Anolis sagrei: one gene and its partners. The protein of the gene in region 2 purifies or fractionates together with the protein of the main gene of each other region. This does not show direct contact. Links are inferred from orthologs where the notes say so. Each region holds a gene or a part of one and is shown on either strand. Other genes may lie near its edges.

Region 1 (10,694 bases), on a different chromosome or scaffold from region 2:
TGGCGAGTACGGTCTCAAAGCATTGAACCATGGCCCGTCAATGCCCGTACTTTGCCAAACTACAACTCCCAGGATCCCAAAGCATCGCTTGACGTGCCACGGCTCAATGCTTGGAGACCGTACTCGCCAAACTACAACTCCCAAGATCCCAAAGCATTGAGCCGTGGCACGTCAAGTGATGCTTTGGGATCCTGGGAGTTGTAGTTTGGTGAGTACAGTCTCAAAGCATTGAGCCATGGCATATCAAGCGATGCTTTGGGATCCTGGCAGTTGCAGTTTGGTGAGTACAGTCTCAAGGCATTGAGCCGTGGCATATCAAGTGATGCTTTGGGATCCTGGGAGTTGTAGTTTGGTGAGTATGGTCTCAAAGCATTGAACCATGGCCTGTCAATGCCCATACTTGCCAAACTACAACTCCCAGGATCCCAAAGCATCGCTTGACGTGCCATGGCTCAATGCTTGGAGACCGTACTTGCCAAACTACAACTCCCAAGATCCCAAAGCATTGAGCCGTGGCACGTCAAGTGATGCTTTGGGATCCTGGGAGTTGTAGTTTGGCGAGCATGGCCTCAAAGCATTGAGCCGTGGCCTGTCAAGTGATGCTTTGGGATCCTGGGAGTTGCAGTTTGGCGAGTACGGTCTCAAAGCACCATCAAGCGATGCTTTGGGATCCTGGGAGTTGTAGTGTGGCGAGTACAGTCTCAAAGCATTGACCCCTAGCATGTCAAGCAATTCTTTGGGATCCTGGGAGTTGTAATTTGGTGAGTACGGTCTCAAAGCATTGAGCCGTGGCATGTCAAGCGATGCTTTGGAATCCTGGGAGTTGCAGTTTGGCAAGTACAAGCAACAACTCCTAGGATCGCAAAGTATTGCTTGATGTGCCACGGCTCAATGCTTTGGGATCCTGGGAATTGTAGTTTGGCGAGTACGGTCTCAAAACATCATCAAGCGATGCTTTGGGATCCTGGGAGTTATAGTTTGGCAAGTACGGTCTCAAAGCATTGAGCAGTGGCACGCCAAGCGATGCTTTGGGATCCTGGGAATTGTAGTTTGGCGAGTACGGTCTCAAAGCATTGAGCCATGGCCTGTCAAGTGATGCTTTGGGATCCTGGGATTTGCAGTTTGGCAAGTATAGTCTCAAAGTATCATCAAGCGATGCTTTGGGATCCTGGGAGTTGTAGTTTGGTGAGTACGGTCTCAAAGCATTGAGCCGTGGCACATCAAGTGATGCTTTGGGATCCTGGGAGTTGTAGTTTAACAAGTACAGGCAAGTACAGCCTTTGAGACCGTACTTGCCAAACTACAACTCCCAGGATCCCAAAGCATCACTTGACGTGCCACAGCTCAATGCTTTGGGATCCTGGGAGTTGTAGTTTGGTGAGGACGGTCTCCAAGCATTGAGCCATGGCACGTCAAGCGATGCTTTGGGATCCTGGGAGTTGTAGTTTGGCAAGTACGGGCATTGAAATCTTGGAAACGGGGAGAAATGTTGTTATCATTCATCTTTATTGCTATTTTCTATTGCTTTTGCTGGATTTGACCCCACTGGTTCCATGCTCTGGCATCCTGGGAGTTGTCGTTTGGCCGAAGACCTTGCAAAACTACAATTTCCCAGGCTTGGCGGCCGGTTCGGGTCACCTTTGCCCGCGTTCCCTTCCTCGGCTGGGTGGGACCGGGCTTTGCGCTGTTGTGTACACTTTCCCAAGGTTCCCATAGAAGCGTTTCCTCCCAAATCTGAGATCATTCCTCTTCTCCGAGCCTGACCTCATCCCAGATTGTTTCCTCTCTCTCTCTCGCTCTATTTTTGAATCAATCCTGAGAGTTGTAGTTTTATAAGGTCAGGAGAGTTGTAGTTTTATAAGGTCACTCTATTTGTTTACTACTTTGGTTACCCGGAGTTGCCCAGGCTATTTGAAAAAAAAAGTTAGTATATTAATTGTACCAAGTACATAAGGGTTTGTGGGTGAACTACAACTCCCATTATGCCAAGTTCACCCCCAAAAAACTCCTGTCATTTTGCTCCTGTTCTGAATCATCATGTAAATATCAGATATGCAGGATGTATTTTCATTCTTGGCACGGATACTCAATATGCCCAAATGTGGTGGAGTTTGGGGCTACGAGACCTTGAGTTTGGGAGTTGTAGTTCACCTACATCCAGAGAACACTGTGGACTCAAACAATGATGGATCTGGACCAGACTTGGCAAGGATACTCAATATGCCCAAATGTGAACACTGGTGGAGTTTGGGGCAATTAGACCTTGACATTTGGGAGTTGTAGTTGCTGGGATTTATAGTTCACCTAGAATCAAAGAGCATTCTGAACTCCACCAACAATGGAATTGAACCAAACTTGGCACACAAAACTCTCATCACCAGCAGACAATACTGGGAGAGTTTGGTAGGCATTGACCTTGGGTTTGGGAGTTGTAGTTCACCTACATCCAGAGACTCAAACAGTGACGGATCTGGACCAAACATGGCTCGGACACTCAATATGCCCAAATGTGAACACTGGTGGAGTTTGGAGAAAATAGACCTTGACATTTGGGAGTTGTACTTGCTGGGATTTATAGTTCACCTACAATCAAAGAGCATTCTGAACTCCACTGATAATGGAATTGAACCAAACTTGGCAGACAGAACTCCTATGACCAAGAGGAAACACTAGATGGGTTTGATGGGCATTGACCTTGAGTTTTGGAGTTGTAGTTCACTTACATCCAGAGAGCACTGTGGACTCAAACAATGATGGATCTGGACCAAACTTGGCATGGACACTCAATATTCCCAAATGTGAACACTGGTGGAGTTTGGAGAAAATAGACCTTGTCATTTGGGAGTTGTAGTTGCTGGGATTTCTAGTTTACCTACAATCAAGGAGCATTCTGAACTCCACCAACGATGGAATTGAACCAAACTTGGCACACAGAATTCCCACGACGAACAGAAAATACTGGGAGGGTTTGGTGGGCATTGACCTTGAGTTTGGGAGTTGTAGTTCACCTACATCCAGAGAGCACTGTGGACTCAAACAATGATGGATCTGGACCAAACTTGGCATGAATACTCAATATGCCCAAATGTGAACACTGGTGGAGTTTGGGGGAAATAGACCTTGACATTTGGGAGTTGTAGTTGCTGGGATTTATAGTTCACCTACAATCAAAGAGAGCACAGTGGAGCTGCTTTATTATGAGCATATTCCCAGTGAGTATCCTGTCTGCCTGGCCGGGCTCCATTGGTTCTTCTCTCCCTTTGGAAAGTTGGCTGTGCTGATTCTGCAAAAGATAAGCGGAGAGAAAGGAGGAAAGCACCAAAGGGAACATTGGGAGGAGTGAGTGGTGGAAAACCCAAACAGGATAGGAGCAAAGTCACGCCAGCGCTTCCCTTTCCTATCTTTTGGAAAGAGAAGCAAGGAAGGCTTGCAGAAGAGACGAGAGCGAAGAGCAGGTGAACCAAGCTGGGCAAGGCAAGGATTGGACCCGGAATCAAGGAGACCGGGATTTGAATGGGTCTCACTCCAGATTTATTCCAAACCCTATGGACTTGGAGTTGTTTAGTGTTATGTTGTTAGGACAACCTCGGTTGCCCGAGGGGCAGAAATTTTAATAGTGATATGTGTGGTGATATTTATGTTTATTTTTATATATATTTATATTTATTTATTTATTGTTTATTGTTTTGTATATATTTATATTTTTGTTTATATATATATATATATATATATATATATATATATATAATTTTTATATTTTTTGTATTTTTATATTTTTATTTATATATTTATATATAAATACATTTATTTATATTTTTAAATTTTATTTATAATTTTTTCTATTTTTTCTATTTTTCTATTTTTCTTTTTATATTTATATATATATTATTTTTATATTTTTTGTATTTTTATATTTTTATTTTTATATATATTTATTTATATTTTATATTTTTATATTTTTATTTTATTTATATATTCATATATAAATATTTTTATTCATATTTTAAAATTTTATTTATAATTTTTTCTATTTTTTCTGTTTTTTCTATTTTTCTATTTTCTATTTATATATATATATATATAACTTTTATATTTTTGTATTTTTATATTTTTATTTATATATATATTTATTTATATATTTATATTTTTATATTTATTTATATATTTATATATAAATATTTTTATTTATATTTTAAAATTTTATTTATAATTTTTTCTGTTTTTTCTGTTTTTCTATTTTTCTATTTTCTATTTATATTTTTTCTATTTATATTTTTCTATTATATATATTATATTTTATACATTTATTTATATTTTTCTATTTTCATATTTTTATTTATATATATTTATATATATTTATTTTTTATTATATTATTCTATTTTTTCTGTTTTTATTGTTATATTTTTTATATTTTTATATATATATTTATTTGTATTATACATTTTATATATTTATTTCTATTTTTCTATTTTTCTATATATATATATATATATATATATGTATATGTATATGTATATATATATGTATATATAGGTATTTTATAAATATATTTATTTATATATTATATTTTTATATATTTATTTCTATTTTTCTATTTTTATTTATATATTTATATTTTTATATTTTAATTATATTTTCCTATTTTTATATTTTTATTTTTATTTTTTATATTTATATATTTTTAGTTTAGATATATAATATTTTTATATATTTATTTATATTTTTCTATTTTCTATTTTTATTTATATATTTCTTTTTTTTAATTTTTTTATATTTATATTTTCTATTTTCTATTTTTATTTATATATTTCTTTTTTTTAATTTTTTTATATTTATATTTTCTATTTTCTATTTTTCTATTTTATTTATATTTTTCTATTTTTCTATTTTTATTTATATATTTATATATATTTATATATTTATATATTATTTATATTTTTCTTTTATTCTATTTTTCTATTCTTTATTTTTCTTTTTTTACATTTACATTTCTATGTTTCTATATTTCCATATTTTATATTTATTTATTTATATTTTATATTTTTATATATTTTATATTTTTTATTTTTATATATTTTTATATTTTTATTTATATATTCATATTTATTTGTGCTGGAGGATCTAGATGCATTTCGTCAGAGGTCGATGCACACTCCACTTGCTTCACAGCCAACGAAAGCTCTGCATATGCCAGCCACAGATGCAGGCGAAACGTCAGGAGAGAATGCATCAGGAGCATGGCCATACAGCCTGAAAAACTCACAACAACCCAGAACTAGAGATCCCTAAACAGCAAACCTTGCTAGGCATTAGCTGTGCTGGGAGACCTAGTGCACCCATTGATTTCCCCTTCTTCTCTTTCCAGCCTTCGGATGCTCCGCGAGGAATGAGTGGAGTCCCGGTCTCCCCGCTGGTCCTGAAGCAGCGCAGCCTCTCTGCGGTGGAGCCATGCGCCGTGGAGCCAGAAGAGGAGATGGGGGACGATGTGCAGTTTTTGGGGGTGCCAATGCGCTTGAGGGGCTGCGCCACCCCCTACGACGCTTTCCGACGGCACAGCTGGGAACCGGGCAAAGTGCTGGACGAGGATGACGACGACCCAGAATTCAATCAGAGAAGGTAAATCATTGCAACATGGATGTGGTTGTGGTAGGGCAGGACAGGTAGACTTGGACATGTGTGCCAAGTTTGGTCTTGGTCTGTCATTGGTGAGGGTCGCAGTGGTCTCAGGAAGTGAGTGAAGGGACCAAGTCCCATTGTCCATGTTCCATCCTTCTCCAGACTGCACCAAGATGTTGAGTGGGCACCTCAGCAAGCAAGAGTCCAAAAGTGGCAGGCTCAAACCCGGAATCTCTTGGAGTCAGCTAAACTGTATAATTTCTCCAGCGGTGTAGAGTGCAGTCATTGGTGAGGGTTGCAGCGATCGCAGTAAGTGAGTGAAGGAACTGCAAGTCCCATCGTCCATGTTCCATCGTTCTCCAAACCGCACCAGGATGTAGAGTTGGTCATGGGGGCTCTGTGTGCCAAGTTTGGTCTTGGTCAGTCATTGCTGAGGGTCACAGCGGTCGCAGGAAGTGAGTGAAGGTACTGCAAGTCCCATCGTCCATGTTCCATCATTCTCCAAAACACACCAGGATGTAGAGTTGGTCATGGAGGGGTCTGTTCTTGATCAGTCATTGGTGAGGGTTGCAGCAGTCTCAGGAAGTGAGTGAAGGTACTGCAAGTCCCATCGTCCATGTTCCATCGTCCTTCAAACCACCTCTGGATGTAGAGTTGGACATGAGGGGTCTGTGTGCCAAGTTTGGTCTTGGTCAGTCATTGGTGAGGGTCGCAGTGGTCGCAGGAAGTGAGTGAAGGTACTGTAAGTCCCATCGTCCATAGTCCATCGTCCTCCAAGCCACATCTGGATGTAGAGTTGGACATGAGGGGTCTGTGTGCCAAGTTTGGTCTTGGTCCGTCATTGGTGAGGGTCGCAGCGATCGCAGGAAGTGAGTGAAAGTACTGCAAGTCCCGTCGTCCATGTTCTATCATCCTCCAAACCACATCTGGATGTAGAGTTGGACATGGGGGGGGGGTCTGTGTGCCAAGTTTGGTCTTGGTCAGTCATTCGTGAGGGTCGCAGTGGTCTCAGAAAGTGAATGAAGGTACTGCAAGTCCCATCGTCCATGTTCCATCGTTCTCCAAACCGCACCAGGATGTAGAGTTGGTCATGGAGGGGTCTGTGTGCCAAGTTTGGTCTTTATCGGTCATTGGATTAGGGTTGCAGTTCATGGGCCTCTGTGTGCCAAGTTTGGTCTTTATCGGTCATTGGTGAGGGTCGCAGTGGTCGCAGGAAGTGAGTGAAGGAACTGCAAGTCCCATCATCCATGTTCCATCGTCCTTCAAACCACATCTGGATGTAGAGTTGGACATGGGGGGGTCTGTGTGCCAAGTTTGGTCTTGGTCAGTCATTGCTGAGGGTCACAGCGGTCGCAGGAAGTGAGTGAAGGTACTGCAAGTCCCATCGTCCATGTTCGATCGTCCTCCAAACCACACCTGGATGTAGAGTTGGACATGAGAGGTCTGTGTGCCAAGTTTGGTCTTGGTCCGTCATTGGTGAGAGTCGCAGTGGTCGCAGGAAGTGAGTGATGGAACTGGAAGTCCCATCATCCATGTTCCATTGTCCTTGAAACCGCACCATGATGTACAGTTGGTCATGGAGGGTCCTGTGTGCCAAGTTTGGTCTTGGTCCGTCATTAGTGAGGGTCGCAGTGGTCGCAGGAAGTGAGTGAAGGAACTGCAAGTCCCATCATCCATGTTCCATTGTCCTCCAAACCACACCAGGATGTAGAGTTGGTCGTGAGGGGTCTGTGTGCCAAGTTTGGTCTTGGTCCGTCATTGGTGAGGGTCGCAGCGGTCTCAGGAAGTGAGTGAAGGAACTGCAAGTCCCATCGTCCATGTTCCATCCTTCTCCAGACTGCACCGAGATGTTGAGTGGGTCATGGGGGCTCTGTGTGCCAACCTGTGATTTGTGGGGGCCACCGTGTTCTGTGGGAAGTGAACCGGGTGAAGGTACTACAAATCCCATCATCCACGGTCCATCCTCTCCCAGAGCGCAGTCTATTCAGCGCCTTCCAAGTCACCTCGTCTTCAATGTGCCCAGGAGGGAGTCTCTCATCTGGTCTCAGCGACTGATTGAGCTTCCGAGTTTCAGGCTGCCGCTTTTGGACTCTTGCTTGCACCTCAGCAAGCAAGAGTCCAAAAGTGGCAGGCTCAAACCCGGAACCTCCTGGAGTCAGCTAAACTGTATAATTTCTCCAGCGGTGTAGCGCTCTAATAGAGCTTCTCTCTATTAGAGCGACAACAAATACATATAAAACAGCGTAGTGGATACAGTTATCCTTCTGTATCCATAGAATTATATAGATTTTTTAAGAAATTGCAATTATGTACAGGCTGCATTAGATACAATATATATTTATAATTAAATACAATGACAGGCGCTGTCTTCATAGACTTGCCAGCTACTTGTGATACTATAAATCATTGCCTCCTCCTGAGAAAAACTTATAGTATCACAAAGGGAATCATAGGAAATCTGCTACAAAACAGGAGCTTTTTTGTTGAGTTCCATCCATCGTTGAGTTCCATCGCAGATGGCGAAAACAGAAGAACTGCCTGCTTTAGGGGAGCGTGCTTGCTCCATCAACGTTTATGATCTACACAAATGACCAGCCACTGCCAGAAGGGACAGAGAGTTTTCATCTATGCTGATGACGCCGCCATCACCGCTCAAGCAGAGAGCTTTGTAATGGCTGAAGAGAAGCTCTCCGAAGCTTTTAGTCAATGTTTCTCAACCTTTCCAATGCCTCTTAATACCGTTCCTCGTGTTTAACATGTACACAAATGACCAGCCACTGCCAGAAGGGACAGAGAGTTTAATATATGCTGACGATCTTGCCATCACCACCCAAGCTGAGAGCTTTGTAATGGCTGAACAGAAGCTCCCCAAAGCTTTAGGTCAGTGTTTCTCAATCTTCCTAATGCCTCTTAATACAGTTCCTCATGTTTAACATTGACACAAATGACCAGCCACTGCCAGAAGACACACAGAGTTTCATCTATGCTGATGACAGTGCCATCAACGCTCAAGCAGAGACCTTTGTAATGGTTCAACAGAAGCTCTCCAAAGCTTTAGATCAGTGTTTCTCAACCTTCCTAATGGCTCTTAATACAGTTCCTCATGTTTAACGTTTACACAAATGACCAGCCACTGCCAGAAGGGACAGAGAGTTCCATATATGCAGATGACGGTGTCATCACCGCTCAAACAGGGAGTTTTGAAATGGCTGAAGAGAAGCTCTCCGAAGCTTTTAGTCAATGTTTCTCAACCTTCCCAATGCCTCTTAATACCATTCCTCGTGTTTAACATGTACACAAATGACCAGCCACTGCCAGAAGGGATAGAGAGTTTTCATCTATGCTGATGACGCCGCCATCACTGCTCAAGCAGGGAGCTTTGAAATGGCTGAACAGAAGCTCTCCAAAGCTTTAGGTCAGTGTTTCTCAATTTTCCTAATGCCTCTTAATACAGTTCCTCGTGTTTAACATTGACACAAATGACCAACCACTGCCAGAAGGGACAGAGAGTTTTCATATATGCTGACGACAGTGCCATCACTGCCCAAACAGGGAGCTTTGAAATGGTTCAACAGAAGCTCTCCAAAGCTTTAGGTGCTCTTACTGCCTATTACAGGGAAAACCAGCTTGCTCCATCCATGTTAAACATTGACACAAATGACCAGAAGGGACAGAGAGTTTAATATACGCTGACGATCATGCCATCAACGCTCAATCAGGGAGCTTTGAAATGGTTCAACAGAAGCTCTCTGAAGCTTTAGTTGGTCTTACTGCCTATTACAGGGAAAACCAGCTTGTTTAATATTTATACAAATGACTTAGAAGGGACAGAGAGTTTAATATATGCTGACGATCATACCATCAACGCTCAAGCAGAGAGCTTTGAAATAAATGGCGGAACAGAAGCTCTCCGAAGCTTTAGGTGCTCTTACTGCCTATTACAGGGGAAACCAACTTGCTCCATCCATGTTTAACATTGACACAAATGACTAGAAGGGACAGAGAGTTTCATATACGCCGACGATCATGCCATCAACGCTCAAGCAGGGAGCTTAGAAATGGTGGAACAGAAGCTCTCCAAAGCTTTAGGTGCTCTTACTGCCTATTACAGGGAAAACCAGCTTGCTTCATCCATGTTTAACATTGACACAAATGACTAGAAGGGTCAGAGAGTTTAATATACGCTGACGATCATGCCATCAACGCTCAAACAAGGAGATTTGAAATGGTTCTGCAGAAGCTCTCCAAAGATTTAGGTGCTCTTGCTGCCTATTACAGGGAAAACCAGCTTGTTTAATATTTACAGAAATGACTAGAAGGGACAGAGAGTTTAATATATGCTGACGATCCTGCCATCAATGCTCAAGCAGAGAGCTTTGAAATGGTTCAACAGATGCTCTCCAAAGCTTTAGGTACTCTTACTGCCTCTTACAAGTTAAATCAGCTTGCTCCATCAATGTTTAATATTTACACAAATGACCAGAAGGGACAGAGAGTTTAATATACGCTGACGATCATGCCATCAACGCTCAATCAGGGAGCTTTGAAATGGCTTTAGGTGATTTTACTGCCTTTTACAGGGAAAAACAGCTTGCTCCATCCACTTTTAACATTGACACAAATGACCAGCCACTGCCAGAAGGGACAGAGAGCTTAATATACACTGACGATCATGCCATCAACGCTCAAATGCTGAAATGGTTCAACAGAAGCTCTCCAAAGTGTTAGGTGCTCTTACTGCCTCTTACAAGTTAAATCAGCTTGCTCCATCCATGTTTAACATTGAGAGAAATGTCTAGAAGGGACAGAGAGTTTAATATATGCTGACGATCATGCCATCAACACTCAAACAGGGAGATTTCAAATGGTTCAAGAGAAGCCCTCCAAAGCTTTAGGCATTTTTACTGCCTATTACAGGGAAAACCTGAAAGTGACAAAGAGACACTTTGGAAACCATAGAGAACCAAACTAAAATGCTCACTTCTCCAAAAGGGTTTTTTTGGGGTCTGGGTTCGGGACACTCCGTGGAGGAAGTGAGCCTTTTTGAAGGGCCAGAGATATGCAAAAGGAGTGAGAA
Region 2 (10,697 bases):
GTGGGAAATTTTCTTAGCCATGAAATGGCAAAGGAAAGACTGATTTATCCAGTTCAGTTTTTTAAATAAGAATTTTGCCTCCTCTGATACAGTCCAGACCCCCCTCCTCAATAATTGTCCCATGTTGTTTGTAGTGTAAGAAATGCAATAAACATGTTGTAGTCATAATTAACAGGCCTTAACAAGATATTTGAAATTCTAGACTATTAAGTACTCAGCTACTGTTTTATAAGGAGAACCTTGTTCTAATTAGAAAGAGAGAGAAATTGAAACTATTATGTGTTTCTATGTGTTGTTGAAGGCTTTCAAGGCTGGAATCACTGGGTTCTGTGAGTTTTCCAGGCTGTATGACCATGTTCCAGAAGCATTCTCTCCTGACATTTTACCCACAGCTATGGTAGGCATAGTCAGAGTTTATGAGATCTGTTGGAAACTAGGCAAGTGAGGTTTATATATCTGTGGAACTCTTGTCTGCTTGAGGCAAATGTGAATGTTGCAATTGGCTACCTTGATTAGCACTGAGTGGTCTTGCAGCTTCAAAGCCTGGCTACTTCCTGCTTCAGGGAATCCTTTGTTGGGAAGTGCTAGCTGTCCCTGATTGTTTCATGTCAGAAATTCCCCTATTTTTTTTTATTCCTCTTTATTTACTACCCTGATTTTAGAGGGTTTTTTAAATACTGGTAGCCAGATTTTATTCATTTTCACCATTTTCTCCTTTCTGTTGAAATTCTCCACATGCTTGTGGATCTCAATGGTTTCTCTGTGTTGTCTGACATGATGGTTGTTTGACTGGTTCAGCATTTCTGTGTTTCTGTTTAATGGAGATATCAACAAGTTCGGAATAGGAAGATCTGCATGTTTCTTGTGCTTTATATTCAGTTTCCTACATCAGTGTTTTCCCCCATGCATCCTTTTGAAATTACAAATATATGATGACTGTCATACTTGTCACATGAATTCTGGACACATCTTTGTGACTTTCTAGAATCTAGTGTTGATTTTTTATTATTCCAACATTCTTTCAGACAACTTCATTGACATAATATATGAGATTGTTGTATTATTTGTTTAATGTGGGGATCCTCGAACATTTTAAACAGAGGACCATGTCACGGTCCCTCAGACTGTTGTGGGGCCAGACTATTGTTTGAAAAAAATATGAACAAATTCCTATGCATTTCACTTTCTTATTTGTAGTGCAAAAAACCCATGAAGGAATAAAACAATATTTAAAATGCAAAACAATTTTAACCAGCATAAAGTTACCAGTATTTCAATGGGAAACCTGGGCCTGCTTTTGGCTGATGAGAAAGTCAAGTTAAGTAGGATTGCTGTTGTTGTGTGCCTTCAAGTTGTTGTGTGCCTTGAAGTTGTTTCAGATTTAGGAGATCCTAAGTTTAGGGTGGGGGCATGGTAAATGACCTTGTAGGGCCTTAATTTGAGGACCCCTGGTTTAATGTATTCATTATTTGTGAAATTAAGAACCCAGAGATGTATAGAATAGCACTTATGGACGGTCTATGTTACCACTTTGGGTAGAATGATACGTCAAAATTAAATGTGACATGCCTCTTTTTTATACTATTTAACATTTCAGTATGACCAGCTACTGTGACCTCTAATTGTCCTGCTGCATTAGATTTCATGTTTATCAAAGAGTTGTGGATTATATAGTGATACAAGTACATGTCAAGTCCACATAAGAAGTAGTTTCACATTTTAGCAAGATGATTTTATAACTAACTTTTCATCTTGGCTCTATGATCTAATATAAAATATAATGTGTTTGAATTCTGAAGCTTCTTTCAGAGACCTGCACACTGCAAACCAGCAGATAATATAGTATAGCTGGGTCACAGAGTAAGAACTCTTTAAAACAATCTGGGAAATTAATACAATATCTACCTACTTGTAACATTTTTCCTACCCCTGAGTTATAGACTTAGCAATACAACAGTCATGTGAGAACACAGTGCAGTCATTCCTTACTTTTAAATTTCTTCAGAAGCTCTGTGATTGCTGCGGTATTTGTACTTGCAGTGCTGATTTTCTTATAGTACTAGCATACAAATTATTCTGTAATTCTTATCTTTTTTTTTCTCTACAAGAAAGTATAAAGTAGTGTTAGATGTTCATATTTGTACATTACAGAGTTTCAAAATTGTTTAACATACCCCTCTAATGAAGTATGAACTATATTAATTTTTAAAAAATCTGCCTATGATAGATCACATATGAGGAACTTTCTATTGAGATATTACCTTCATTTAGGAAATAGTATATAGCTTACACATGGCTAATTGACCTGTTTTTGTCATGGGTCAATTAGCCCGTGAGAAAAACAAGCTAATTGTGGTCCTGTGCAACACATTGAGGGAAGTTGACCTTCTTTTTGTGAAATCCCAACAAAGGATTTTGTTGGATTAAATTCTTGTTTTGTACCATTTTTGCACCTGATATGAGAAGTTAGTATTGTTACATGTATGACTGCAAAATATTGCTGTCAAGTTGGGTTTGTTAGCTGCTTTTGGTTTCCATGTGTTTAATGTTCTGTCCCATTCACTATTCTGTTAATGTAAAATTATTCGCAAGAATTCACATAACAAATATTTGTGACTTACTTTATTTCATTTTATGTTATCCTACATTTAATAAATAGGAAGTAAATAGTATACAGTTATGTGGAACTTTCTTCTGAGTAATTGTGATTAAGATCCAGTTTAGTTGTATTGTTGTTCTTGTACATTTGAAAGTAGATTTCCCCTTTTCCAAAATCCATATAACATTTTTCAACAATAGTTTGTCTCTTTGGTATCCATTTTACCATATCGTCTAAGAATAATGTATTTCTTATAATTTCCTTCTCAATTTGTAATTAAAGGGTGTTGACTGGAAATTTCATTTTCAATGGTCAAAATTTTAAACCTATAGGAAAGAGGGAGTTCAGTATTACAGATTATTGTGATTTGTGATTGATTGCTTGTGATGAAGTACAAATGCCTTGATATTAGAATTTTTTCCTTTCTTGTGTGTGGGTGGGGGGGGGGGTGGAATAGGGAGGTGATGCCAGAAGGATGGAGAAACTGTGAGGTCCTCTTGTGTGGGTGGTAGTAGCATTTCTCTAAATCCCAGCTGTCTCCAAGGAAACCTACAGTGCCATTCAGAGACAAATGTATATTGCACATTGATGTTACATGTTTTATGCCTTGGTACATACTAATTAAGTACATTTTTTGCTGCCTGTGATCCTTTAGGCTTCTTAGTTGTTAAGAACTAATACATCTGAGAAAATCTCCCAGGAGATAGTTGATTTAAGAAGCAATGTTGATGGGTATGAATGGACTAAAAGAGCTTGTAGTTTTAGAAACAGGATCTTTAAGAAAAGTAGATGAGAAGGAGTGGAAGAGACAGCTTGGGGCAGAAGAGGGTGCCAAAAATAAGCTCTCCCATGCATACGGAAAGCAGACATGATCTTGTCAAATTCTATGATAGCTACAATTGGCTAACAGCTGCTGTCGTTAGTTTTATTGGTTTTTCCACCTTCAAATGTATAGAATTAAGTCCATATGGTAATTTCCATGTGACGTATGAGCATAGTCTGTCATCTATTTATATGTTTATATGGGTGGGTAGCAACAGTATCAGCTTAAATGGCCAGGTATATATGATCCTGCTTTTCTTTAGAGATATTCTTCTCAGATATGGTAAGTTTGAATCAGACCCCATGAGCAATATCTGTTTTTAAAATTTTATTAGAATGCAGAATACACTTTTGACAAAGCATTTAATATATATGTAATTGAGTTATGAGGCATTTTAAACTGACATTTCTGTATTTGAAATCTTTCCAAAGCAAGATTCAAAATTAGAAGTGCTTTCATTTACAATTCATTCTGATAGCTATCTAAAACATCATGTTTAGAAGACATCGTGCTACTGGCAAAACATTTTTAAAAGAAATTTCTTAAGCAAGGTATGAAACTAAGATAAATGTCTAATTTGTACATTCATTTTACAACGTACTTTCAGAGAATGGAACCTAGTGTATATGAGTCTACTTTCCCCTTTTTATCCTCACAACAACCCTGTGTGATAGGTTAAAGTAAGAACTGATCAGTGCTAACCAATAAGCTTTATATACGAGTTTTGTCTCTCATAGTAAAGCTACACTGGCCTTGGCACACCTTTAGCACAAACAGATTCAATTTATCATTGAATATTCATAGAGTATAAGGCTTCTTCTGAATGTGCTTTTGACCCCCCCCCTTTTTTTTCTTTAACCTCTTCCCTCTAGGCAGGGCCTGCTCTGCCATGAGTCCCAGTTACCTCAGGGTTTGTTTGTTTTTGTTTTGTTTTTTGTTTTTGTCGTGTCAGGAGCGACTTGAGGAACTACAAGTTGCTTCTGGTGTGAGAGAATTGGCTGTGCAAGAACGTTGCGCAGGGGATGCTCAGATGATTTTTGATCTTTTTATCATCCTTGTGAGAGGCTTCTCTCATGTTCCCGCATGAGGAGCTGGAGCTGATAGAGGGAGCTCATCCGCCTCTCCCCGGATTCGAACCCACTGCACCACCGGGGACTCCTAGTTACCTCGGGTGATTGGGTGGCAAATTTGCCCTTTTGTGCCACAGCAAGGCTCAGGGTTCAGATCCATGCAGCTCTCTATATATGGTCACAGACAAAAAAGATGGTTGTGGCTGACTCCTCAGCCACCTTAAGCAACCACCTGTAGAGGCAGAAGAAACAGAAGTCTGCTATATTACCACTTCACCATCATCCAAAAAAAATTGGAAGCAGCAGAATCTCCATAGCTGTTAACAACTTGTTATTTTTTGAGGAGGTGGTCTGGATGCCCTTCAATTATGCCTTTGACCCCCCCCCCCCTTTTGGGGGGGAATCTTCCTATATGTGTAGGCTTGGGAGTTTCAGTTCCATTATATCTGAAACAGGGAGCTCTGACTTAATATTAGTTTATTAACCAGGCTCAGGAGCCATGTTTTGATCCTGGTTCAAAATTCTACTCCTCTTTAAATGTAATAAAAAACTGGTTTAAATAGGTGAGGTTTGAAGTATTAAATGTGTATATGAAGGAGTGAATTGAGTGAAGTGCATGGGAGCCACATGGTTGTCTTAATAAAACAAAAAACAAAAAAACTTCATTGTGAATTGAGCCTCTATGTTCAGTGTGTCTTGTTCCCAATTAAGTATGAATAAGATTACAGACTTAATGCAACTAGGGCCCAATATTCAGTGCATTATTTTAGTTTCACTGAAATAAGTGACATTAAATTACAAGAAAACAAGTGAGGGCTATAAATGTTAGAATATGGTTTCTAACATTAAAAATCATAAGATTAGTACATCTGTATCACTTATTTTTTAATATGGAATTCCTTCTGAAATGTAAATGTTACAATATATTTTGGTTATTTTTAAATGAAGAATTTAGAAAAATCAGGGTTAGGTTAGTAAGAAGTACCGATAGCTGAAATGTTGATACATAATCTGCAATACTGTATCCTAATATCCAAAACAATTGACAAGGTCCTTGCAGTCCTCCATTTCTAATTTTTTTTTTCTTTTATGCTTTGAAATTCTGCTAAGGGTTTTTTTTTTTACTAAGTTTTGAATGCTGTTTGTAATTTTGTTTTGTAACTCAAAATAAATTCAGTGGATGTACTAGGCTATTCAGTTTTGAATCAATAACATTTCCAGTGTTTTGAAAACATAAATAATAAAATCACAAATCACTTTTGCTCCTTGTTAGATTGAAATAAAAGCTGTAAATTCAACTTATTGGAAGACTTTTTCTCCATAAAACACATTTTTGTGTTTGTTAATGCTTCTTGCACAGCAGCAGTAATTATTTTGAGAAATAGGTATCCATTGGTTTTAGGGTACTGTCTCTTTAAATCCTTTGATGCTTAGTTTACTGTCATCAGTAAAGCTTCATGACTGTAGAGGGTTAAGTGAGGCAGTTCTGAAAAGACAGTACCATATGAAAGTACTTAAGGATTTGGAATTGTTATTTTCCTACACTGTTAGTCAGCAGTGCCAGTACACAAGTTTTCTTGTGGTTTTCAATGGAAAATGTAAAAGGCTGAAAAGAATTTCTACATTTGAATTGAATTAGTCATACGAAACTGGCATGGATATTCTCTGAGGGCTACCCAAAAGCGGCTTTCCCCCTCCCCCTCTACAGGAAGTTACATCCAGAGCAGTAGCTTCGGTTCTTTGCGAAGTGTAACATGTGAGCATTACTAGGCATTTCATCCTGCGGGTCTGCAGTCTGTGCTATAAAGACTATTGCTCTGTTGGAACACTGCTGCGGTGCTATTTTGTGCCCTGTTGACGTGATCTGCAATTACTTTTTAAGGCACTAGATTTTTATATGGTTTGCAGTAGCATCTACCGCACAGAAAATCTTTTATTGGTGACAGTATTTGGATTAAGAGAACATTTAACTTGAAGAACCAGCGGGCTGACATAGATGCAGATCTTCAAATAAAGAAGTTGGCTGAAAGACGATGTGTGGAACCTGAATTTCCTTTTTACCTCCTCTTTTTTTTTTTACATCGGTCTGAAGGAAGGCTATAATGGGAGCTCTATTCATACTGAGATCAAAAGAAGCATTCAAATGATGAACTACTTCTGAATGAAAAGTCTAAAGCAATAATTCAAGTGCTTGTGCTTTAGTATTTTGCTAAAGCTTTCGTCATTGCCAGCATTTATGCCTTGTGCGTTCCCTGTTGGATCAGCTCACGCAACGACGTGATGGTGGAAAACAAATATTCTGCATTTCTTTTTTGATGGATGGAGTAAAGCAGTCTTTGTTGCGGTCTGCTGGGGAATCTGGATCAAACAAGCAATATTATTATCCAAGTCTCATTGTCCTTTGTTGTCTGACTCATCACATGTAAATGTACTGCAGCTTAGTGGTACATACATTGCAGGGATTTGTACAAAGAGAAGAAATGTCATCATTGGAGCTCTATAATTCTGAATAGCTGCTGAGAACAGATTGCATTTCTCTGGTGAATTTCTGACAGTAAGAGAAATAAAATTGTTAGTTACAGAATTATGAACTGGAACACTTGGGACAGTCATGTATGCCTTTTATGGTAGAATACCTGCTACTGTTAACTGGGAACTGACCTTTCGGAAGTGGAGAAAGCTGTGATCATCTCTGCCAGAGCAATTGTCTTCTTGTTTCATTCTGTATAGAATGGTGTTATGTTGTCTATAACAATGATTTTACTGTTCAGAAATTCTATTCTGTAGAAATTTAACAGAATCAGCTGGCTTGGTAACAAGCATCAGCATATTTATATATACTATTGTAATTTATACTTTAATATTGGTTGAGCAAACAGTATTTTAGTACTTGAGTGCTATAAAGTAATAGAATTATTTTATAGATTTTTTGGGAAAACCTCATTAGCTGAATAACTCAGGTTACAGAATCTGGCAAATAAGAGGTCATTTAATTATATCACTTAAAGATTTCAGAACAGCAATAGTTATCACAAATTATGTTTAAAAAGACTTTCTATGTGGTGTTAGCTGTGATTAGAATAAGACCCTTACAAATCTAGTTTTCATCTTCAAACGGATCGAATGAGTCGCGTATGTATTGTTGTTTTGGAGGAGGTGGAAGATGATTCTCCCACATTTGTTTCCAAACTGCCTCAGGAAAGCATATCTCTACACCCTTCACCTCCAGCACATGGCTTGGTAAGAAGCTTCTGTTAAATATGCCCTATTTGTAATTGTGATTTAAAGCTCAAATGATTTTTACCATAAATATATGTGAATATAGAAAGTGTACCTAATATTATGCTTAAATAGTGAACATAAAGTAGTGTTCTCCTGGGTCTAACTGCAATCCTGATGAATGACACATATTTTTAGATTTTTTTAAAAATATTCTATTTTCTGGCCATTGTTTTCAAAAACTACAGTATCAAAACAGCATGTCTCCTACCTGCTGCTGGATATAAATTGATTCCTATGATCTTTGGCTTGTTTTATGAATTCATGTAATATACTCTGTAATAAAGTGTTTTGTTCTTAAAATTCAGTAGAAGAACATAGCTCATGTGATGCAGGGCTGCTATTTCACCTTGATTGTTTTTGGTAAACCTTTTTTTGGCATTTATTAAAATTGGATTGTTCCCTTGTGGAATTGGGCAGGGGGAGGGGTTAGCATATGGAGGTATTTTTAGATATAAGGACATATTTCCTCCATCTATTCAGATGTTCTGATTTTTCTTGCTGTTTTATATGATTAAAAAAACTGACTAAACAGTTTTATATGTTGTTTCTTTGAAAGTAATCATTATGCATTCTTCAAAATGTAACCCACTAATGTCAGATACTTTCCCCCTGTGGCAATATGCAGCATTACCTCTTCATAAAATGTTTCTTTTTATTTTATCTAGGAAATTGCTGCAACTGTTTAAGCAGAAACCTATTTTATAAAGATGTATTTGACAAATTTTATTTGTGATACCATTTTTGAGCTGTTCGGGTTTTAATGCCCGATATAACAACAACTACAACACTTATTTTGAAATTAAAACATTCCTTTTGGTTTTATATTTCAGCCCCCACTAGTTCAAGCTATATTTAATGGGGACCCTGATGAGGTTCGTGCACTGATTTTTAAGAAGGAAGATGTCAACTTTCAGGTAAAAAGAGATTATACAGTTATATACAAATGTAATGTAATTTTGTTACATTAAAGCTCTCATTTGTGATTCTTTGGAATCTTTGTAATATTTTTGTTTCTAAAATAACCAAAGGAAATGCTTCTTTTGATCTTGCTAAAATTGTTGCAAAAATTCTTCAATTTTTTTAAAGAAATTTAATCATTCTGGACATATTGTAGTTCCAGAAAGTTGCTATTCCAAATATGGTTTCACTTTATGGCTTTAATCAATATGTACCTATTTGTAATGCGTACATCAGTGGTAACATTTCAGTCATGTCCATATTACCCATTTAATAAAGACAAGGTGCTTTCTGTGGGAGGAAGGAACAGTTCAAATATTGATGTTGTCAGTCTTATGGCCACTAAGAAAACTCCCAGTATTCTTTCATAAAGCTAAATTCTATGCATCATTACAGCCATATCCATGCAATTATTTTTGACAGCGTGGTAGTCTTGATCAGTTAATATTTATTGGTCTACAAGTCTACTCAGACATAGGCCTCATTTTGTTTAGTGGGAGTTTCAGGAAAATATATTTAGATTATAGGCTTAGTCTGGAAATGTCAAAGACATATGATTTTAACTACTAACCAAATATTTAGTGTGTGAGTTTAACCAGGTATTATTCTGAATTTGTCAGGGAAACCATTTCGGAAAACAAAATGAGGGAATGTTGTCTTAAGTAGCAGGTTTTAAAAAATGTACATTTGTTAAGATGGAGTAGGCAAGTAAGTTTGCGTTGTTGGCTGCAGCTTTGAAAATGGGTTAGGCCCATGTGTTTCATTAGAAGTGAACTTCAAAAAAATCCAGGGAAATCAGAGGAAATGAAACTGGTGGAATTGAATTAAAAATATGCACATATACATGCTTAATTGTTTGACCAAATTAATATTCCTTGGTTTAAGGGCCACAGAATCCTATTTTATTAGTGGAAAGAATTTTGTGACTGTACAGGGTGTGTATTATATATTTCCCTTCCAGGTGCATCCCTCTGTGCCATGTCAAATCCTGTTCTAGTGGGCCTCTTGACCTTTAAGGCTAGCTCTTGGCATATGGAGATGCAAGGAGCTGCAGTAAGAAGGGAAGCTGGAAAAGCCCCCAGGCGCATATGTTATTTTTCATGCAGCTCTTTGACTGTTGTGTCTGTTCAAGAATATCAGACATCTGATGTTGTGCTGTGGCTCTAGTAAAATAATAGTTTATTCTTTTGTTAAAGTTGGCATTTGTTTGTTTCACTTGCAGTTCATAACTCTATTGTATTTCAGTTGTAATTGCTTCATATCATTCACACAGTAGTAAGGAATTACAGAATGTTGACATGGGACAATGGATGAAGTTGGCTATGGACAACTTTGGATGGGTAGCCTCAGCTGATGTAGCTTATGGAGAGGCAAATTTTCGTTTTGCTGCCTATGTTATAGTCATACCCATTATGCATGTTGTGCAATTATATTAAAAGACAGTGTTTTGGGGCATTGTATAAACATCAGTCTGTAGAACAAATGCATTAGTAACTCATAGAAAAAGGAGACCTTTCTAAATATAAACACTTTATTATCAACTTAGTGTTTCTCTCTCAAACATGAAAATTGATTTTTTAGAAGATTATGATAAACCAGTTAGTCACATCCGACTAAATGTAGTTCTGGCTTGTGAAAATGTGTGCAGGATATTGCTTTGGCAAATAATAGATAGAAAGTAGATGGCTGTTTTTCTCCCCTCCCCATCCAAGATTTCACAAATGTATAGTTAGTACCACACATTTTCCAGTTCCACTTTTGTGAATTTGACTACTTGTAGAGTTTATTAATATATTCTCTTTGAATTTCCACTATGATTCCTAGAGAGATTATTTGTCTAGACATTTCTAGGTCATCCAGTGCAGTTCTGTCATCACTTTCCACCAGAGGTTGACTATAGAGTTGTGCTGGAGAATCTGGAGATTCCTGGAGAGATGTTCTCTCAGGTTAAAAAAAATAGTGCTTT
Region 3 (10,731 bases), about 68 Mb from region 2:
CTTATTACGAAACTTTCCTTTTCAAATTAGGTTTGATATACAGCTGGGGTAGGCACTGCTGTTGTTTCTGTCCCAGAAATGCCATCCTCCCTAAATTGTGTAGAACCTGTTGGGTGATTTATTCTCAATCCAGATGAACAAATATGAGCTATTTATTTATAATTATCCGCCTTCTACCTCCCTGCCCAAGGACTCAAGTTGGTTTGGCCTTTTATACTGGTTTATGATCTATTATATTTTATGGATTCGGGGTCCTTCTACACAGCCGTATAACCCAGAGTATCAAGCCAAATAATTCACAACTGGGATACCTGAGGGCTCCTCCACACCCCCTATATCCCAGTATCTGATCCCACTGCCAGATAATCTGGAATGAACAGAAAACCTGGGATCAGATCCTAGGATATAGGACCTGTCTGGAAGGGCCCTGAGTCACACTGCATATAACCCAGTTCAAAAGCAGATGTGGGATTTTATTCAGCGGTGTGGAAGGGGCCTAAAATAACCCAGGACCCTTCCATGCAGCAATCCGGAGTATCGAGGCAGAATAACCCACAATATCTGTTTTGAACTGGAATATCTGAGTCCACACTGCCACATATCCCAGTTCAAAACAGATATTGTGGGTTATCTGCCTTTATATTCTGGGTTATATGGCAGAAGGGGCCTAATTTTAATTGAAGCCACATTAGCCTTATGGTGAATCCATTGACAAAGAATCTGCACAGAAGGCCCTCCATCTATCTATTTATCTAACTACCTATCTATTACATATAGCCTAAGGGCCTCATCACACTAGAGAAAAAATCCGCTTAAAATCTGGTTTCTGCCTCCTGCAGAATTCTAGGGTTTGTAGTTTAGGGAGGAGCCTCGTCAACTCTCAACCAATTCAACATAGTTGGTATTTATTTATCGTGTCAGGGGCAACCAGACTATTGTATTACATTTTTAATAGAACAAAACAAACAAACAGGTTAAAAAAACCCACAAAGTTTGCAAACTTGGTAGTTGATTAAATGTCCTTTGACCAGGTTGCAACAGCAAGAACAAACTACAGAACAACTAACTGTTTCAAGATTGGGAAAGGAATATGGCAGGGCTGTATACTCTCACCCAACCTATTCAACTTGTATGCAGAACGCATCATGCAACATGCAGGGCTTGACAAATCCAAGGATGGAAGTTAAAATTGCTGGGTGAATATTAACAACCTTAGATATGCAGATGATACCACTTTAATGGCTGAAAGCGAGGCGAAGCCGAACTCCTCCTCGCTTTCTAATCAAGGTGAAAGAATAAAGTGCAAAAGCTGGGTTGCAGTTAAACATAAAATAACCCAAGATGATGGCAATTAGATTGATTTGACAACTGTAAAACAGGGAGTAAATGTGGAGGCAGTGGCAGACTATATTTCTAGGTGCAAAGATTACTGCAGACGCAGACTGCAGCCAGGAAATCAGAAGACGTTTACTTCTTGGGAGGAGAGCAATGTCCAATCTCGATAAAATAGTGAAGAGTAGAGACATCACACTGACAACGAAGATCTGCATAGTCAAAGCAATGGTATTCCATGTAGTAACCTATGGATGTGAGAGCTGGACCATAGGGAAGGCTGAGTAAAGGACAATAGAGGCTTTTGAACTGTGGTGCTGGAGGAAAGTCCTGAGAGTGCCTAGGACCGTGAGAAGATCAAACGAGTCCACCCTCCAGGAAATAATGCCCGGCTGCTCACTGGAGGGAAGGATATTAGAGGCAAAGTTGAAGTACTTTGGCCACATAATGAGAAGACAAGAAAGCTTGGAGAAGATAATGATGCTGAGGAAAATGAGAGGAAAAAGGATGACAGGCCACCAAGGGTAAGATGGATGGATGGTATCCTTGAAGTGACTGGCTTTACTTTGAAGGAACTGGGGGTGGCCACAGCCAACAGGGAGCTTTGGTATGGGCTGGGAGGAGACATGATTGTTGTTTGTTCAGTCGTTTCTGACTCTTTGTGACCTCATGGACCAGCCCACGCCAGAGCTCCCTGTCAGCCGTCACCACCCCCAAATTCTTCAAGGTCAGTCCAGTCACTTCAAGGATGCCATCTATCCATCTTGCCCTTGGTCTGTCACTGTCACATTTTCTCCCTCTATTTCCCAGTTGTTAATCATTCTTGTTGCTATAATCTTGTTTTTTTTTTTAAATGTTTAGCTGCAACCCAGCTTTTGCATTTTCTTCTTTCACCTTGATTAAAAGGCTCCTCAGTTCCTCCTCGCTTTTGACCATCAAAGTGGTGTCATCTGCATATCTAAGGTTGTTAATGTTTCTTCCAGCAATTTTAATCCCAGCCTTGCATTCGTCAAGCCCCGCACATCGCATGATGTGTTCTGCATACAAGTTGAATAGGTTGGAGGAGAGTATACAACCCTGCCATACACCTTTCCCAATCTTGAACCAGTCTGTTGTTCCATGGTCAGTTCTTACTGTTGCTAATTGGTCCTTATACATGATAAAGGTAAAGGTTGTCCCCTGACATTAAGTCCAGTCGTGTCCGACTCTGGACTTGCCCAATCTTGAACCAGTCTGTTGTTCCATGGTCAGTTCTTACTGTTGCTAATTGGTCCTTATACATGATAAAGGTAAAGGTAAAGGTTGTCCCCTGACATTAAGTCCAGTCGTGTCCGACTCTGGGGTGTGGTGCTCATCTCCATTTCTAAGCCGAAGAGCCAACGTCGTCCGTAGACACCTCCAAGGTCATGTGGCCAGCATGACTGCATGGAGCGCTGTTACCTTCCCGCCGGGGCGGTACCTATTGATCTACTCACATTTGCATGTTTTCGAACTGCTAGGTTGGCAGAAGCTGGGGCTGACAGCGGAAGCTTACACCGCTCCCCGGATTCGAACCTGCAACCTTTCGGTCAACAAGTTTAGCAGCTCAGTGCTTTAACCCACTGCGCCACCGGGGCTCCGGTGATACATGATAGCCATGTATAAATAAGTGAGAGCAAGTCATAGGAAGGAGGGAGCAAACTTGTTTTCTGCTTCCCTGGAGACTAGGACGCAGAACAATGGCTTCAAAGTACCGAAAAGAGATTCCACCTGAACATTAGGAAGAACTTCCTAACTGTGAGAGCTGTTCAGAAATGGAACTCTCTGCCCCAGAGTGTGGAGGAGGCTCCTTCTTGGGAGGCTTTTAAGCAGAGGCTGGATGGCCATCTGTCGGGGTGCTTTGAATGCAATTTTCCTGCTTCTTAGCAGGGGGTTGGACTGGATGGCCCATGAGGTCTCTTCCAACTCTATGATTCTCTATGAAGTCATGAAGAGCCAGAAATTATTGAACAAATACACAATGGCTGTGTGGAAGGGCCTACATTTCAACAAGCAATAATACTCTGAGACTATCCTGAGTGATTTGAACTACAACTTTTCTAAATGTGAAACCAAGAGGAGCTGCATTGGATTTTATGGGGCTTTGTGATTGATAAAGGCTACAGAGCTAGAAGACACACTGTTACAGCGCTATTTTTCTACTTTATCTGCAGGATAACTGATAGTTCCCTCCTAATGAATTCAACCTGCTTTGAATCCAGGGAAAGTACGCAAGCAAGCGCTCAAAATCCACCTAAAAATGAGCTAGGCCAAGAAGATAGGCCCAGCGCATGCGCAACAGATTTTCTTAGTCCCTCCATCGGCGGGAAGAAGGAAAGACGAGAAGGAATTCGACGCATGCGCAGATGCTCTCCCTAGTCTTTACTTCAATTCCCAGAATTCCTAAAATTTGGTCCTGCTGGCTGGTGGTACTCTTGGAAACTGGAGTTCAATGTCCTGTAGAACCACTGGCCTTTGGGGGAAAAGGAGGAGAAGGATGAACCAAGGAGAAGCCAAGCGAGAATTCTGAAAATGGAGAGAGGGAGCCCGACGCATGCGCAACTAATTCCCCTAAGTCGGAGGGAGGCTGATTCCCGTCGGACTCCCATTCCTAAGCCTCCCTCATTCCTGACTTAGAGGAATTCGTTGCGCATGCGCCGGACTTCCAGTCCTCTACCAGGAGTCCGACGCATGCGCAACTAATTCCCTAAATCAGAAATGAGGCTGAGGAAAGGGAGTCTGACGCATGCGCAGCTAATTCCCCTAAGTCAGGAATGAGGGAGTCTGAGGAAAGGGAGTCCGACGCATGCGCAGCTAATTCCCCTAAATCAGGAATGAGGGAGTCTGAGGAAAGGGAGTCTGAGGAAAGGGAGTCTGACGCATGCGCAGCTAATTCCCCTAAGTCAGGATATATTTTTTGTCGTGTCAGGAGCGACCTGAGAAACTGCAAGTCGCTTCTGGTGTGAGAGAATTGGCCGTCCACAAGGACCTTGCCCTGGGGACGCCTGGATTGATTTGATGTTTTTATCATCCTTGTGGGAGGCTTCTCTCATGTCCCCGCATGAGGAGCTGGAGCTGATAGAGGGAGCTCATCCGCCTCTCCCCGGATTCGAACCTGCGACCTGTCAGTCTTCAGTCCTGCCGGCACAGGGGCTTAACCCACTGCGCCACCGGGGGGGGGGGGGGCTCCGACGCATGCGCAGCTAATTCCCCCAAATCAGAAATGAGGCTGAGGAAAGGGAGTCCGACGCATGCGCAGCTAATTCCCCGAAGTCAGGAATGTGGGAGGATGAGGAAAGGGAATTTGACGCATGCGCAGCTAATTCCTCGAAGTCAGGAAGGAGGGAGGCTGAGGAATGGGAGTCTGACGCATGCGCAGCTAATTCCCCTAAGTCAGGAATGACAAGAGGCTGAGGAAAGGGAGTCCTCCCCTAAATCAGGAATAAGGGATGCTGAAGAAAGGGAGTCTCACGCATGCGCAGTTAATTCCCCTAAGTCGGGAATGAGGGAGGCTGAGGAAAGGGAGTCCGACGCATGCGCAGGTAATTCCCCTAAATCAGGAATGAGGGATGTTGAAGAATGGGAGTCCGACGCATGCGCAGCTAATTCCCCTAAGTTAGGAATGAGGTAGGCTGAGGAAAGGGAGTCCGGCGCATGCGCAACTGGTCTCCCTCTTCTTTTAGGGAGTCATATGTCCAAAACAGATTGTTAGGAATTGTGACAGTTGAAGTCCGAAACACCAGGAGGGGCGAGGTTTGCCCATGCCTGGTCTAGGGTAACTCCCAGGTATTTTGGCGGGTGGGCTTAAATACAGAAAATGGAAGGTGAAGAGAGTAAGCCCGCGCATGCGCAACTCATCCCCGTTCGTCCCTCAATCGGCGGGGGTGAGGGAATCCGAATGACGCATGCGCAGTTTGCGCTTCCTACTCTTTTTACTACATTTCCCAGATATCTCAACCCTTTGCCTCAGCGCTTTGGTCTTCTGGGAGTTGAAGTCTTAAAGGTTGGGAGCCAATCGCATTGGAGAAAGGGGGAGGAGGAGGGGGCGGGGCCAAGCCTGAGGGGAAAGAAGCGCGAAGAGGAGGAGGAGGAGGAAACGGCGAGTCGGCCGCTGGGAGGCGCGCGCGCGCGGGGGATTGTGGGATCGCGGCGGTGAAGGGAGGAAAAAAAAAAGTGGAGCGCGAGCCAGCGAAAGAGCCGCCCCCCTCCCTCCCTCCTTCTTCCTTCCTTCCTTCGCAAGAGAAGAAGAAGAAGAAGACTGGGGCAGGACGAAGGGGGCTCGAGCCCGGTGAGAGAGAGAGAGAGAAAGAGGGGGAAAGGGGCTGGCGGTGGAGGGGAAGGGAAGGGGGGAAGGAGAGAGAGGGAGGGAAGGCCTGCGCCTCTCAGGGACTGAGGGGAGCTGTGTGTGTGTGACAAGGAAGGGAGCTGCCGCCATTTTGGAGCTCCCTCTGGGAGACCCTCCCCCGGAATAGCGCCCCCTCCCCCACAGGCGTGATCTTTGCCCTTTCCTTCCTTCCTTCCTTCTCCTCATCCTTCCTGTCCAGGCCCAGCTCTTTGGCCTGTGGGTAGCCCTTCCTTCTTCCATGCCTTCATCTTTTATATATGGTTGTAATCCCCAAGTTACCAAAAAGATAGGCTTTGTAGCTTTGCTCTGAAGTTAAATTTGGATGCAAGTCGGAACAGGTACATTTTAAAAGTGTCACTCCTGCCAAATATATAATAATGATAATGATAACTGGGTGCCGTGCCAAAAGATCTCAGCCGGCATTTAGAAACAATAAACATTGACAAAATCACGATCTGTCAATTGCAAAAGGCCACCTTACTTGGATCTAATATATAATAATAATAATAATAATAATAATAATTGGGATCTCGGCCAGCATTTGGAAACAATAAACATTGACAAAATCACGATCTGTCAATTGCAAAAGGCCACCTTACTTGGATCTAATATAATAATAATAATAATAATAATAATAACTGGGATCTCAGCCGGCATTTGGAAACAATAAACATTGACAAAATCACGATCTGTCAATTGCAAAAGGCCACCTTACTTGGATCTAATATATAATAATAATAATAATAATAATAATAGCTGGGTGCCGTGCCAAAAGATCTCAGCCGGCATTTGGAAACAATAAACATTGACAAAATCACGATCTGTCAATTGCAAAAGGCCACCTTACTTGGATCTAATATATAATAATAATAATAATAGCTGGGTGCCATGCCAAAAGATCTCAGCCGGCATTTGTAAACAATAAACATTGACAAAATCACGATCTGTCAATTGCAAAAGGCCACCTTACTTGGATCTGCACGCATCATTTGAAAATACATAATAATAATAATAATAATAATAATAATAATAAAACTTTGTTTATATACTGCTCTATCTCCCCGAGGGGACTCGGAGCAGCTCCCAGGTAACATCTCAAAACATACAAAGTAAAACGACATAACCATAAGATTAACAAAACAATATAAGCATTAAAACATCACACAGTCCTAGACACTTGGGAAGTGTTCGACTTGTGATTTTGTGATATGAAATCCAGCATATAGATCTCGTTTACTGTGACATACTGTGATGTCAGTAAAATATTATTATTATTATTAATAATAGAAAACTGGAAAAAGCTGACCTGATATGAGGATTTAAAGATCGAACTGCAAAGACTCTGGCACAAGGTGGTCCCAGTGGTGATTGGCACACTGGGTGCAGTGCCTAAAGACCTTGACCTGCACTTAAACACAATTGGCGCTGACAAAATTACCATCTGTCAGCTACAAAAGGCCACCTTACTGGGATCTGCATGCATTATTCACCGATACATCACACAGTCCTAGACACTTGGGAAGTGTCCAACATGTGATCCAATACAACAGCCAGCAGATGTCTGCTGTGGACTCATCATGTTGTGTTACAAATAATAATAATAATAATAATAATAAGGTAAAACAATAAATGTAATAATAATAATAATAACAACAACAGAGTAAAATAATTAATAACTGACTTGAGTATAAGTCACCGATACATCACACAGTCCTAGACACTTGGGAAGTGTCTGACGTGTGATCCAATACAACAGCCAGCAGAGTGATCTTGTTTGCTGTGGACTCGTCTTGTTGTGTTTCAAATAATAATAATAATAATAATAATAATTAATGTTTGGCAAAAGTATGATAGCTGGGACCCAATGCCGAGAAAGCGCAGCAAGTGAGAGATGCAGGTACGACAGTCGTGGCAACATAGTTCACCAGAAAAGGGGGGGGGGGGTCAGTAAACAGCCAAGCATAGTGCTTAAGGCTATATAGACATCGTATGCAAACACGTTCAAATGCTTAACATCTTCGCTTCTCTAAGTCTGACCTGCATCGCGCAAACAGCATTGGGTCCCAGCTATCATACTTTTGCCATGTTTGTTTATATCCCGCTTTTTCTCACCATGCAGAGACTCAAAGCGGCTCACAATACCACTTCAAATATATAAATAGTAAAACAGTATTAAACATTATGTTGTCAAAGGCTTTCGTGGCAAGAATCATTGGGTTGCTGTGAGTTTGAGAAGCCCTATACGCTTTGGGTTCAACCTATCTTTGTGACAGCATCTCTTTCTATGAACCAGCACTGGCTCTGAGATTGACATGGGAGGACCTTCTCTTGGTCTCACCTTCATCTCAAGCATGGTTAGTGGGGATAAGAGAGAGGGCCTTCCCTGTGGTGGCCCCCTGGCTCTGGAATACCCTCCCAAAAGAGATTAGATTAGCCCTCCTCTTCAGTCCTTCCATTCCAGTCTGAATAGGCCCATATGAAGCTGACCCATGGCACCTTGTGAATTGACACAATTTCCCATATGAATATGATGCTATGGTATTGCAAGTTAAAAACAAAATAAAACAAAGGAGTTATTAAATATCAAAAGACACTTGTTGACTTTTGATATTTATATCAGGCATGGGCAAACATTGGGCATCCAAGTGTTTTGTACTTCTGGCTGTTAGGAATTCTGAGATTTGAAGTGCAAAACACCTGGAGGGCCCATGCCTTATATATACATGTATACATACATACATGTATACACATACAGGTTTCTCCAAAAGTTGCCATACATAGGGAAAATGGAAAATTGTAGCTACATTTATTAACAAAATAATATTAATTACAAAATATTACAAAACCCTTCCAATATTTTATATATATATATATACTATTAAGAATATGTAATATAATGTAAAATATAATCTGAGTTTGTTACTTTTTCCTATGTACTGAGATTTTGGGGATAATCCATATATATTATATGTGAAACAGGCACATAGACAGTAAGAAAAATAAAATAATGCACTGCAAACTACATTACAATACTATATAAAAAGACATTGTCTTGTATTTCTCAGCCTAGTGCAAGCTGTCAGGTGTGTTTTTCTATAAAAGTGTTTTAAACTCCCCTTTAAATGTAAGTGGGCAGCTTTGCTAAGTGGAATGTCAAAACTGGTTGGAGAGCATGGGGGCACTTGCTCACTAACTAGAAAGGCAGAGGAGTTGACAGAATCAAATTTTAAAAATTATGCAGATTACAGGAAAAGATCAGTTTGATCAGAACTGAAGTGTTATTGGCCGAACAGTTCACAAGCCTAGTGCTTTAAAAAAAATAAAGCGAGTCACTGCCTTCTGTTCTCTCAAACACATAAGGTTTTTGTGGCATCATAATATGCTTAATTAAAAGGATACTCTAATTTAACACATTTCCTTATAAAGTATGTATTTTAATGTGCTTCTTCACACACTGCTGTACATTTTTGTTCAGTTTGATTAGCTGACAAAATAATATCCTTTTATATGCAGGGCCTTGAATGTTAGCTTCTCAGGTTCTGAATGTTTGCTGCCCAATATCTAATTCCTTCCAATTCCTTCCCGTTCTAATTCTTTCCACACCCCAGAAGAACCATTCTTTTATCTTATACCTACTGAATCACCCACTGATATTTATTCTGTTGCTTCTTATGTTGTGCAGAATAATTGCTACCTTAGTTAGTGATGTTCTCAAAAAAGTGACCTGGCTTAGAGTTCAAATATGCATTTAAAGTGCAGGTGAAAACATCTCGTCTTATTATATAACACTTTTTACCTGCCCTTTTGTACACAACAGGAAGGTTAAAGTGTGTTAATGGATAAACTGACCTCTGATTGACTGAGTACACATGGACCACTAATATTTCGCTGCTGACTTTGTTTAACCCAAAGATCTTAGCTTTCTTTTCACAGGTGTGTCCCCAAAAGACCTGATCCCTCAGTCATTTCCCCCCTTGCATCCCCAATTATGTGGTTATTATGTTCACTGATGGCTCCCATATTTTCTGCAGTGTATCCGTTTTGTACCATAACCTTTCCCCTAAGTGGCAGATACCTGACTAATATTGAATTCAGCTTCACCAAATTCCGTGTGTGGTTCGTAATCGCCAAGGCTATGTTTGGTGAGCCTGAGAACGATGTTCCTCATCTTGCTTGTGGATAGAAGCTGGTTGTTGTCCTCTGGTTCTGAGTTTGCATTTGTCCCGTCATGCTAACTTTCATTATGATGTCTGTTTGAAAATGAGTGTGTGAAGGTGAATATGTTTTCAGACTTAGATGGGGGAGTTGCATAGACTATCTCTTTATTTTTGGAGGTTGGTGCAGAACACTGGTGAGTGAGACTGATTTTGTGTTTGAATGTTGGAAGAGCAGGCGGATTTTGTGCTTACATCCCAAGATTAGCTGCTTAGCATTTGGGGATCAAGAAGGGACTGTGACTGGTGAATTGTGGCTTTCCCGTGGCTTTCTCTTTGGCCAGCTGAAGTCCTAGCTCTCTCTGTATTTTGAAGCTATTCTTTATAATTTAATTTTTAAAAGAAGTCTACTGAATTGAGATCTTTTATTTTTATTCAGAGTACATTACTGTGGATCTAATATGTCCTTGCTCTTTTTGATAATTGAGTAAAATAAATGAAAAAATGAAAAAAGAAAGTGCTCATTCAAGGAAGTGAGGTTTCAGAAATATTGACCAATGAAAAATTGCAAGCGGAATTCCTCGTTGTTGCTTCCACAGAGTGAGAAGCACTGTTAGTTCCCAGAATGGGATGTTCTCTCTCTTTCTGTCTTTGGAAGAGATATAAAGTTAAGAATTGTGGTGGGAGATTATTAATAGTGAGGGAGCTCCCAGTGGCACAGTGGGTTAAACCCTTGTGCTGGCAGGACTGATGACTTGAAGGTTGGGTTGCTGATCTGAAGGTTGCTGGTTCGAATCCAATCCGGGGAGTATGGATGAGCTCCCTCTGTCAGCTCCATGAGAGAAGCCTCCCACAAGGATGGTAAAAAAATCCGAGCGTCCC

Evidence for each region. Proteins that work in one complex are often made in the same cells at the same time.
Region 1: the proteins of ANKRD28 (region 2) and ARHGEF2 purify together in Homo sapiens (affinity purification with mass spectrometry; 3 studies listed by BioGRID and IntAct, with this or other methods). This does not show direct contact. The link is inferred for Anolis sagrei from reciprocal best matches to the Homo sapiens genes ANKRD28 and ARHGEF2.
Region 3: the proteins of ANKRD28 (region 2) and PPP6R1 purify together in Homo sapiens (co-immunoprecipitation; 4 studies listed by BioGRID and IntAct, with this or other methods). This does not show direct contact. The link is inferred for Anolis sagrei from reciprocal best matches to the Homo sapiens genes ANKRD28 and PPP6R1.

The regions. Positions count from the first base shown.
Region 1 is NC_090032.1:20,907,935-20,918,628, reverse strand, and holds the start of ARHGEF2 (rho guanine nucleotide exchange factor 2), read left to right. Parts: upstream 1-5,407; 5' UTR 5,408-5,474; coding exon 5,475-5,617; intron 5,618-10,694. UniProt on the Homo sapiens protein: Activates Rho-GTPases by promoting the exchange of GDP for GTP.
Region 2 is NC_090026.1:89,312,894-89,323,590, forward strand, and holds the start of ANKRD28 (serine/threonine-protein phosphatase 6 regulatory ankyrin repeat subunit A), read left to right. Parts: upstream 1-6,156; 5' UTR 6,157-7,615; coding exon 7,616-7,732; intron 7,733-8,604; coding exon 8,605-8,688; intron 8,689-10,697. UniProt on the Homo sapiens protein: Regulatory subunit of protein phosphatase 6 (PP6) that may be involved in the recognition of phosphoprotein substrates. Involved in the PP6-mediated dephosphorylation of NFKBIE opposing its degradation in response to TNF-alpha.
Region 3 is NC_090026.1:20,852,021-20,862,751, forward strand, and holds the start of PPP6R1 (serine/threonine-protein phosphatase 6 regulatory subunit 1), read left to right. Parts: upstream 1-5,444; 5' UTR 5,445-5,638; intron 5,639-10,731. UniProt on the Homo sapiens protein: Regulatory subunit of protein phosphatase 6 (PP6). May function as a scaffolding PP6 subunit. Involved in the PP6-mediated dephosphorylation of NFKBIE opposing its degradation in response to TNF-alpha.